2 linked regions of the Canis lupus familiaris genome follow. The protein of the gene in region 1 interacts with the protein of each later gene in a pairwise test. Links are inferred from orthologs where the notes say so. Each region holds a gene or a part of one and is shown on either strand. Other genes may lie near its edges.

Region 1 (4,142 bases):
ACCATTTTTCTAAAGCTTTCCCTCCCTCACAGTGAAAGTGTGGAACAGATTGGATACAGAACTTGAAACTCAGATGACTCCCTTCAACAGTCAGGTCCCTCTCCTCTCCAACTGGGTTCTCTTTTTCCAGCAACTTTTGCAACAGTATAGCAACCATGTTTCCAAAGCTTCTTCTCACTTAGCAGTGAATGTAACCTAAAGGATTGGCTACACAGTGAGAGATCTCACGGGATTCCCTAGAACACTCAGGTCTCCCTCCTCTCCAAAATGACCACCTTTTCCCAGTATCCTTTGTAACAGTGTACCTGCCAGTTTTCCAGAGCTTTTCTTAACCCACATTAAAGGTACTTTAAAGGATTGGCTACATAATGGTCAGATTCAATTGATTGGATTTCCTAACAGCCAGGGAACATAGGAACCTAACTTGTCTTAATCTTTTTCCAGACTTGAGAATCATATTGTTTTATGTATGTATATTTCTATTTAATAGCGTAGATGAGGTCCATCTACAGTATCAAGGATTACTAATGTCTTTTACTTAAAGTCCACAGAGTGTAGATGCTAACTAAAATTCCAAAATGATGGGGATCCCTGGGTGGCTCAGCGGTTTAGTGCCTGCCTTTGGCCCAGGGCGCGATCCTGGAGTTCCGGGATCAAGTCCGGCGTCGGGCTCCCGGTGCATGGAGCTGCTTCTCCCTCCTCCTGTGTCTCTGCCTCTCTCTTTCTCTCTCTATCATAAATAAATAAATAAATCTTTAAAAAAATAAAAATAAAAATAAAATAAAATAAATTCCAAAATGCCTTCATGGCAACACCTAGACTAGTGTTTGATGGAATAACTGGGAACTACAGGCTACCCAACAAACAGGTAAACTTGACCCTCATAGTGATCTAATCATTAGGGAAGCTGAGGGAGAATTTGGACTTAGACCAGAGACTGTAGGACCTGTATGGGGACAGTGGGGCCTCCAATGGCTACAGACAGATTCTTTCTTTCCTATCCTTCCTTCCTTTTATTCATCAATGATTCTCATGATTCCAGGCTGATTATTTAGTTGATAATTAAATAATTTATATAGTTATAATTTATATAGATAATATAGATAATATAGATATGGAAGGAAATATACATATAGAATTATTTATTTATAAAGGAAAGTGTCATTTCACACACAATAGAGTTTTGCAAAATAAAGTGTATATGTAGTCCCCAAGGAATATGTGAATCCGGTGTTCTGGAAACCCAAGGTTGAGCTCCCAGCCTACCAAAGGATGGCCCTGACCTCTCAAAGGACATCCCTGCCTTCATTGCCTCACTGGTACACAAAAGCTTTTTCCTTTGGCCCCAAGTCAACATCTGGCTCTGCTCAACCTACCGTCATGAAGCTGGAGCCCCTTTAGTCTGTTGTCCCAACCCCAGCCTAGCCACTGCATGCCAAGGACTCCATACAGTACCGCTTTCTTGCTCCGGTTGCCAGTCATATTCCAACCCGATTGACCTGCAGCAGAGCCAGCAGCCTTTGGATCCGCCTTCTGTCGCCGCTGAGAAGCACCCACAGACTGGGATCCATGCTCCATCATTTCTAGGCAAAAGAAGAGAGGCCCCAGAAACACCCATAGAGGCTATACCAAGGCTTCCTGGACACAGGACACACCAGAAAGAGGATAAGGTACCCAAACTTCTTAGGAGTCATTCAATATTCATTCACTGTTGTCCCCTGGCAGATCCCAAGCCTCAGTCTGTTCATTTGTTTAAAAGTTTAGTAAGTATTTCTTGAGGGCCAAACTCTGGGCTAGGTTACTGGAGGGAGAGCAATGACCAAGACACAAGATCTCAGCAATCTAGTAATCAACTGTCTATGTGTGCTTAGCTGAAGTGAGGGGTGCAAAATGGGTATAATCTATCAGTGTTAACTCAGATCAAGAGATACATGCTCCCAAAATGATAAGAACAGGGCAACATGGTGGAAGGAAGGGCTACTTCTAGAAAAGCCAGAAACACCTGTGAGGCAGAGACCTGAAAGACAAAAATGATGGCAGCCATGGAAAATCTAGGAAAACAGCATCCCAGGCAGAGGTAGCAGTCAACACAAAGGCTATCAGGAAGAATCAGCCTTCGGGTCTTATGAGGACAAGTATAAATGCAGTGTGCTGTGGGTCATCATACCACAGCATGAAATATATTGAGGAGGTGGCATTGGCTGGCTCTTGTAGATCAAGGAAAGGAGTTTGGATTTTACTCTAAAGGAGGAAAAGGCATTAAAAAGGAGAGAGAATTGGTCTGAATGATCTTATAAATTGAGCGCTCTGGATACTTTGCCATAAACACAGTGGTAGCTTGGACAGGGGGAGATAAGGACCACACATGTGGATCCCATCCTACTCTCTCACAGGCTTCAAAATGCTCACATCATCAATACCTTTCCCCCCCAGCTTCCTGTTCATCAAGGCACAAATACAGGTATACGCACACCAAGGCACAGACACACACATAGCCACACATACTTGCATATATATGACTCTTCCCAGCCATGAACACACCTTCTCCAACACATGTGACTGGGTGCAGACACCCAAAGGAAAGGGACATTACAGGGGCTCCTCACCTGCTATCACCAGGTGCTCCTGGCTTTTCCCATAGTTTCCAGGAACCAGCTCTTCAGCGATGGATGTTTCCATCTCCTCCTTGATAGTAGGGGGGCCTCCTGCCATCACAGCTAGCGCTTAGCTATTAAGCTATAGCCAGGATACACAGGAAGCCGGGCACAGAGCAGACTCTTGGAAAGTCTGCTCTTCCAGGGGCAGGAGCTCGAGGAAGATATATCTGGCCATGGGGGTGGAGCCACACTCTCCCACAGGACTCAGGCCTTGGACCCAGCACCTTGTGTTCCTGTTGTATCTTATTGGCTTGGTTCACAGTCTTCTCCCCTGCTACTCTGTAAGCAACTTAGGAGGAGGAGTTTCTGATACTTATCTCAGAAACTTTGCCTGTGAGAACTACCCTGGCTCTCGGGTCACATGATTTGGCCCCATTGAGGGGCCAGTGGGATCTACTCTCCATCATTTCTAAAGAGAGGTAGATACTGGCACAGGACCCCAAAGCCAGTCAGTAGCCAGAACAGGGTTAGATCCCAAACTTGTTGTGGCTTCTGCAAGCCCAGCTCTGGCAAGTATTTCAGGCCACAGCTCCCCTCAGGAGGCATCCTCTACAGAGCACATCTTGTTTCCCCCCAATGTAGAGTTCCCAGGGGAGATGGCCTTTTAATGCCTTGGGTCAGTCTGAGCAGGAACCATGAGAATCTAAGGAGGGAAGGGCAGGAAAGAAGGGATCTACCTGTAGCCACTGGAGGGCCCACTGTCCCCAGGCAGGCCCTGCAGTCCCTGGTCTAAGTCCAAATTCTCTCTCAGCTTCCCTAATGATTAGACCACTGTGAGGGTCAAGTTTATCTGTTCGTTGGGTAGCCTATAGTTCCCAGTTATTCCATCAAACACTAGTCTAGGTGTTGCTATGAAGTTATTTTGGAGCTTTGGTTGACATTTGCACTCTGTGGACTTTAAGTAAAAGACATTACTAATCCTTGATAATGTGGATAGGCCTCATTTAATGAGTTGAAAGGCCTGAAGAGCAAAGACTGAGGTTTTCCAGCGAAGAAGAAATTTTGCTCAAGAATGCAACATCGGGAAACAAAAGCAAACAAAAACTCCTGGGACTAAATCAGAATACAAAGCTTTGGCACAGTAAAGGAACCTGTCAACAAAACAGAAAGGCAACCTAGTGAATGGGAAAAGATATGGGCAAATGATGTATCTGAGAAGGGGTTAAAATGCAAAATATATAAAGAACTGATACAACTGTCAGCACTAGAAAAACAAAAAAATCCAATTTAAGAAGGGGCAGAGGACCTGAATAGACTTATTTCCAAAGAAGACATACAGATGGCCAACAGACATGTGAAAAGATGCTCAGCATCACTCATCATCAGGGAAATGCAAATCAAAACCACCATGAGGTATCACCTCACCCCTGTGAGAATGGCTAAAATCAACAATACAAGAAACAAGTGTTGGTGAGGACATGGAAAAAAAAAGGAACCCTCACGCACGGTTGGTGGGAATGCAAATTGGTGCAGCCACTATGGAAA
Region 2 (3,939 bases), about 80 Mb from region 1:
GCCAGTTCCAAGAAGACTCCCTATGGATAAGGACCCTTCCCCATGGATAAGGACCTGAGTTACAGCAGAGACTGCAAGAATAAAGACCAGAGTCATACAGACGTTTTCCCTCCTCCTCCTCCTCCACCCAAGAATAAGAACCAGAGCCACGGAATACTTTCCCATGGACAGGTAAGTGCCCAAGTCACACAGAGAAGACAGCACACCCTCTCCCCTATGGATAAAGACCTCGACCTCTCCACGGATAAAGTTCCGTGTCGCAGACACAGTAAGCCACATTAGCCCACTCTCATCGGTCCCTCCCTTCCCCCAACCCGCGTGCACCCATCCTGTGCTCCAATCGCGCACGCGCCTCCGCTCTCTAAACCGAGGGGGGGGGGAAGACACCCCCCTCCCGGGCTCAGGCCATGCACCCATCTCCTGGTTCCGTGCGTAGCCCAGGCCCACATCCCGCAGTCCGCCCTCGAGCCTCCTCTCCGCCCCCGCCCGCCCCCGGCCCCTTACCTCCGCCCCCACGACCAGCGACGACGCTCACCTTCTCGGCCCGGGCTGTCAAGGGAGGGCTCCCGGACATCACCTCGGCGCGCCGCCACCTCCTCCAACTCTCCCAGCTCAGCCGGAGCCGGCCCGCACCACCGCCAAGTCCGAGGCTGGAGGCAGAAGGGTGGAGGAGCGGGGAGGGGAGAAGCGCCAAGCGCGCTACCCTCCCCAGGAAACCCACTGCCGCCTACTCCCAGCCGGCTGCAATCACCAGCACAAAATGGCGACGACGAGCAGAGAGCCGGCGCTTCGACCACCATCCACCTACTAAGGGAGCGCGCTCTGGCCGGCCTCGTCTATTGGTCGCTGGCCGCCGACGGCCAGCCCTGGCCAGCTCTGATTGGCAAGCGTATGCCACCTCCCCACTCTCCTTGCGAACGCTCGCAAGTCTGGAAAAGGAGTAGCTATTGGCTAATCCCGCGAGGCCCGCTTTTTAGAAGCTTGGCTTCCTTCGAAGATGAAAGACAAACGGAAACTCCGCCCCTTCCCCCAGAGGGCGAGGGAAATCTCCGTGCCATTGGCTGGGACTTGCACCCACCCAAATGTCAACGCTTTCTTATCAAGGAAAGGGGCAGAGTTATCCGCCAGAAACTCCTTAGCCTGACGGGGGGAGGGGGAGGTTAAGAAAATGGTCGCCCCCATGAGGTCATGACAGAGGGCTACTCAGCGCCTCATCTCATTTGAGAAGCAAATCCAATCTCGGGACCTATTTAGTGCGGCGGGGCGGAGCGACAATTGTCGCGCTCGGGTCAACTGCAGCTGCGCACAATCGCATTTCCGTCCCCGCCCCTGAGAGCCTGCAGAACCATTGTCATGGCGGCGGGGCTGTTAGGTCTGGGCGCTCGCCGCCTTTTGGCAGTAGCGGCGACGCGAGGGCTCCCGGTCGCCCATGTTCGCTGGGAATCCAGCTCGTCCAGGGCCGTGATCGCCCCGTCGGCTGTGGCAGGAAAGCGGACGCCGGAACCGACTGTACGCTGGCAGGAGGACCCAGATCCGGAGGACGAAAACCTCTATGAGAAGGTGAGAGGGAGGGGAAACGGGTCGCCAGAAGGGTCAATCGGGGGCCGGTGGACGGGGCGCTGTAGAGGACGTTCTTAGGCGGCTGTGGATTGCGCTGCTGGTGAAATCCTCGAAGACTTGGGAACTTTCCCTAGCTTGATTTCCTTCTTTGTCCTCTGGTAATCTCAGGTCAGGGCCAGAGGCGAGACTGCCTTTATTTTGCAGACATATATCAAACCTGAAGTGAGCAATGCTCAAAACACATTAGAAACAGTACAGTATGACAATGATACTCACATGGTGCTTGCTCAGTGCCCGTGCTCTAAACGCTTGACTTACGTTATCTAATCCTCAAAACAACCCTGTTTAGAAGTAGGTACTATTAGCATACCCATTCTACAGCTGAGGAAACTGAAAAATAAAGATGTTAAGTGACTTGCCCAGACTCGCACAACTGAACGTGTGATCCAACCAGGTCTGCTGGGCTGTGGTGATAGCAGAGACTCAAATCAGAATGCCGGAGTTGGAATACAGGCATTGACAGTTACTCATCTTGGTGACCTTGGGCAAGTAGCTTATCTCCTTGGTGCCTCTTTGTAAAATGGGGAAAGTATTAGGACACCTTCTAGAAAATAAAATACTACATCTGCCTGATGTAATCAAATGGATCAAAATGCTCAGAACAGCAGTTGGTATTTAGTATCCAGCATTAGAAGGTGTTAATTATTGTTGCTACTTTCTGCCTTACTGGGATATTGTGATGTTTGTGTGTGGCACACAGTAGGTTATTCATCAGTACTGTCCTCTGGCTTGGGTATATAGAATGTTTATTCACTTATTCATTCATTTTTGTGAATAAGGAGCCAGGGCCTGTTGTATGCCAGGGGCAGTTCAGGGCTCTAGAGGTTCAGCAATGTGGAAATCAAATAAAGCTCATGCTTTTGTAGAGCTCATATGATAATGGAGAACACAGAAGATAAACATGTAAAATATTTGGAAACAGTAACATTGAGTATGTAATATATAAGACAATGTGTTAGGATCTAGGGAGATGCTACCTTGGTAAACTAGTAACTGCTAGAAAGGAAGTTCAGTAAGATAAATAGATGGAGAGTGACTTAGGGGTAGAGGGTAATTTTATTAGATGAAACTATAGGAAATTGGCTATATTCAACCATTTTTAACCTATAAAAGTGGCAATTTCCTGTAGTTTGGATAAAGTGACTAGGGAATGCTCTCTAAGGGAAGTGATTATGAAGCCAACACTTTGAATGAGGAGACAGATCTAGCTATGACGAGATCTGGAGGAAAGGCTTTCCAGGCAGAGGGAATAGCAAAGGCCCTGTGGTAGAAAGGAGTTTACAACTCCTAAGACTAGAAGGAGGAATTAAATGAGAGAGAGGAGATTGGTCTGAGGTGAAATCGGAGACCAACTGATGTAGGGCCAGCATAAGGCTTTTTGTGGAGCCACAGGAAGCCCTCATTGTCCTCTTCTTCTTGCCATAGAACCCAGACTCCCATGGTTACGACAAGGATCCTGTTGTGGACCTCTGGAACATGCGGGTCGTCTTTTTCTTTGGCTTCTCCATTGTCTTGGTCTTTGGCAGCACCTTTGTAGCTTATCTGCCTGATTACAGGTGCATGGGAATGTCCAAGAGAGTGGAATGGGTGGGGGTGGGGGCGGAGGTTGAAGGGGACTGTGCCAGGAATCCCATTCTTTGTGCCAGTGGGGAAGGGGGAGCTAAGATGGGGATTGGTGTCCAGTGAAGCTCCCTCACATCTTCCCCCATTCCACTGCCTCCAGAATGCAGGAGTGGGCCCGCCGGGAAGCTGAGAGGCTTGTGAAATACCGAGAGGCCAATGGCCTCCCCATCATGGAATCCAACTGCTTTGACCCCAGCAAGATCCAGCTGCCAGAGGATGAGGACTGATCTGTTACCAAGCGGGGCTCAAGAAGCATCACCTTCTCCACTGCCTGCCTGTCGTTCTGCCGTTTCTTTAGAGCACCTAATTAAAGGGACTGAAAGTCTGGCTGGCTGGTGTTGGTTTTGTTGTGTGTGGGGAGGGGGATGTGGGAACAGGGTGTCGGGTCTTAAAAGACCACTGCAGCCTTTTCCGGGTGTTCTGGTTATCTGTTGCTGGGTAACGAACACCATAAGACTCGATGGGTTAAGATGACAATTTAGTATTATCTTCCATGGTCCTGTGGTTGACTGGGCTTTAGCTAGGTGGCTCTTCCTGGGGCCTTAGGTGGTTGTAGTCAGATGGTGGCTGGGGGGCCCAGGGGTATCTGAAGGCTTAACTGGGATGGACGTCCAAGGTGGCTTCTTCACTCACATATCTGGCACTTTGGTGTCCTTCCATGTGGCATCTCTCTCCAGCAGAATAGTCTGAGCTTCT

Evidence for each region. The genes of interacting proteins can lie anywhere in the genome.
Region 2: the proteins of FATE1 (region 1) and NDUFB11 interact in binary tests that used the Homo sapiens proteins (3 or more experiments, as listed by UniProt). The two-hybrid records come from large-scale screens. The link is inferred for Canis lupus familiaris from reciprocal best matches to the Homo sapiens genes FATE1 and NDUFB11.

The regions. Positions count from the first base shown.
Region 1 is NC_049260.1:120,980,269-120,984,410, reverse strand, and holds the start of FATE1 (fetal and adult testis-expressed transcript protein), read right to left. Parts: upstream 2,808-4,142; 5' UTR 2,713-2,807; coding exon 2,607-2,712; intron 1,584-2,606; coding exon 1,456-1,583; intron 1-1,455. UniProt on the Homo sapiens protein: Involved in the regulation of endoplasmic reticulum (ER)-mitochondria coupling. Negatively regulates the ER-mitochondria distance and Ca(2+) transfer from ER to mitochondria possibly implicating it in the regulation of apoptosis.
Region 2 is NC_049260.1:40,947,001-40,950,939, reverse strand, and holds NDUFB11 (NADH dehydrogenase [ubiquinone] 1 beta subcomplex subunit 11, mitochondrial), read left to right. Parts: upstream 1-1,134; 5' UTR 1,135-1,353; coding exon 1,354-1,560; intron 1,561-3,045; coding exon 3,046-3,176; intron 3,177-3,343; coding exon 3,344-3,470; 3' UTR 3,471-3,570; downstream 3,571-3,939. Other genes in the region: RBM10 (RNA-binding protein 10), read right to left, coding at 536-800. UniProt on the Homo sapiens protein: Accessory subunit of the mitochondrial membrane respiratory chain NADH dehydrogenase (Complex I), that is believed not to be involved in catalysis. Complex I functions in the transfer of electrons from NADH to the respiratory chain.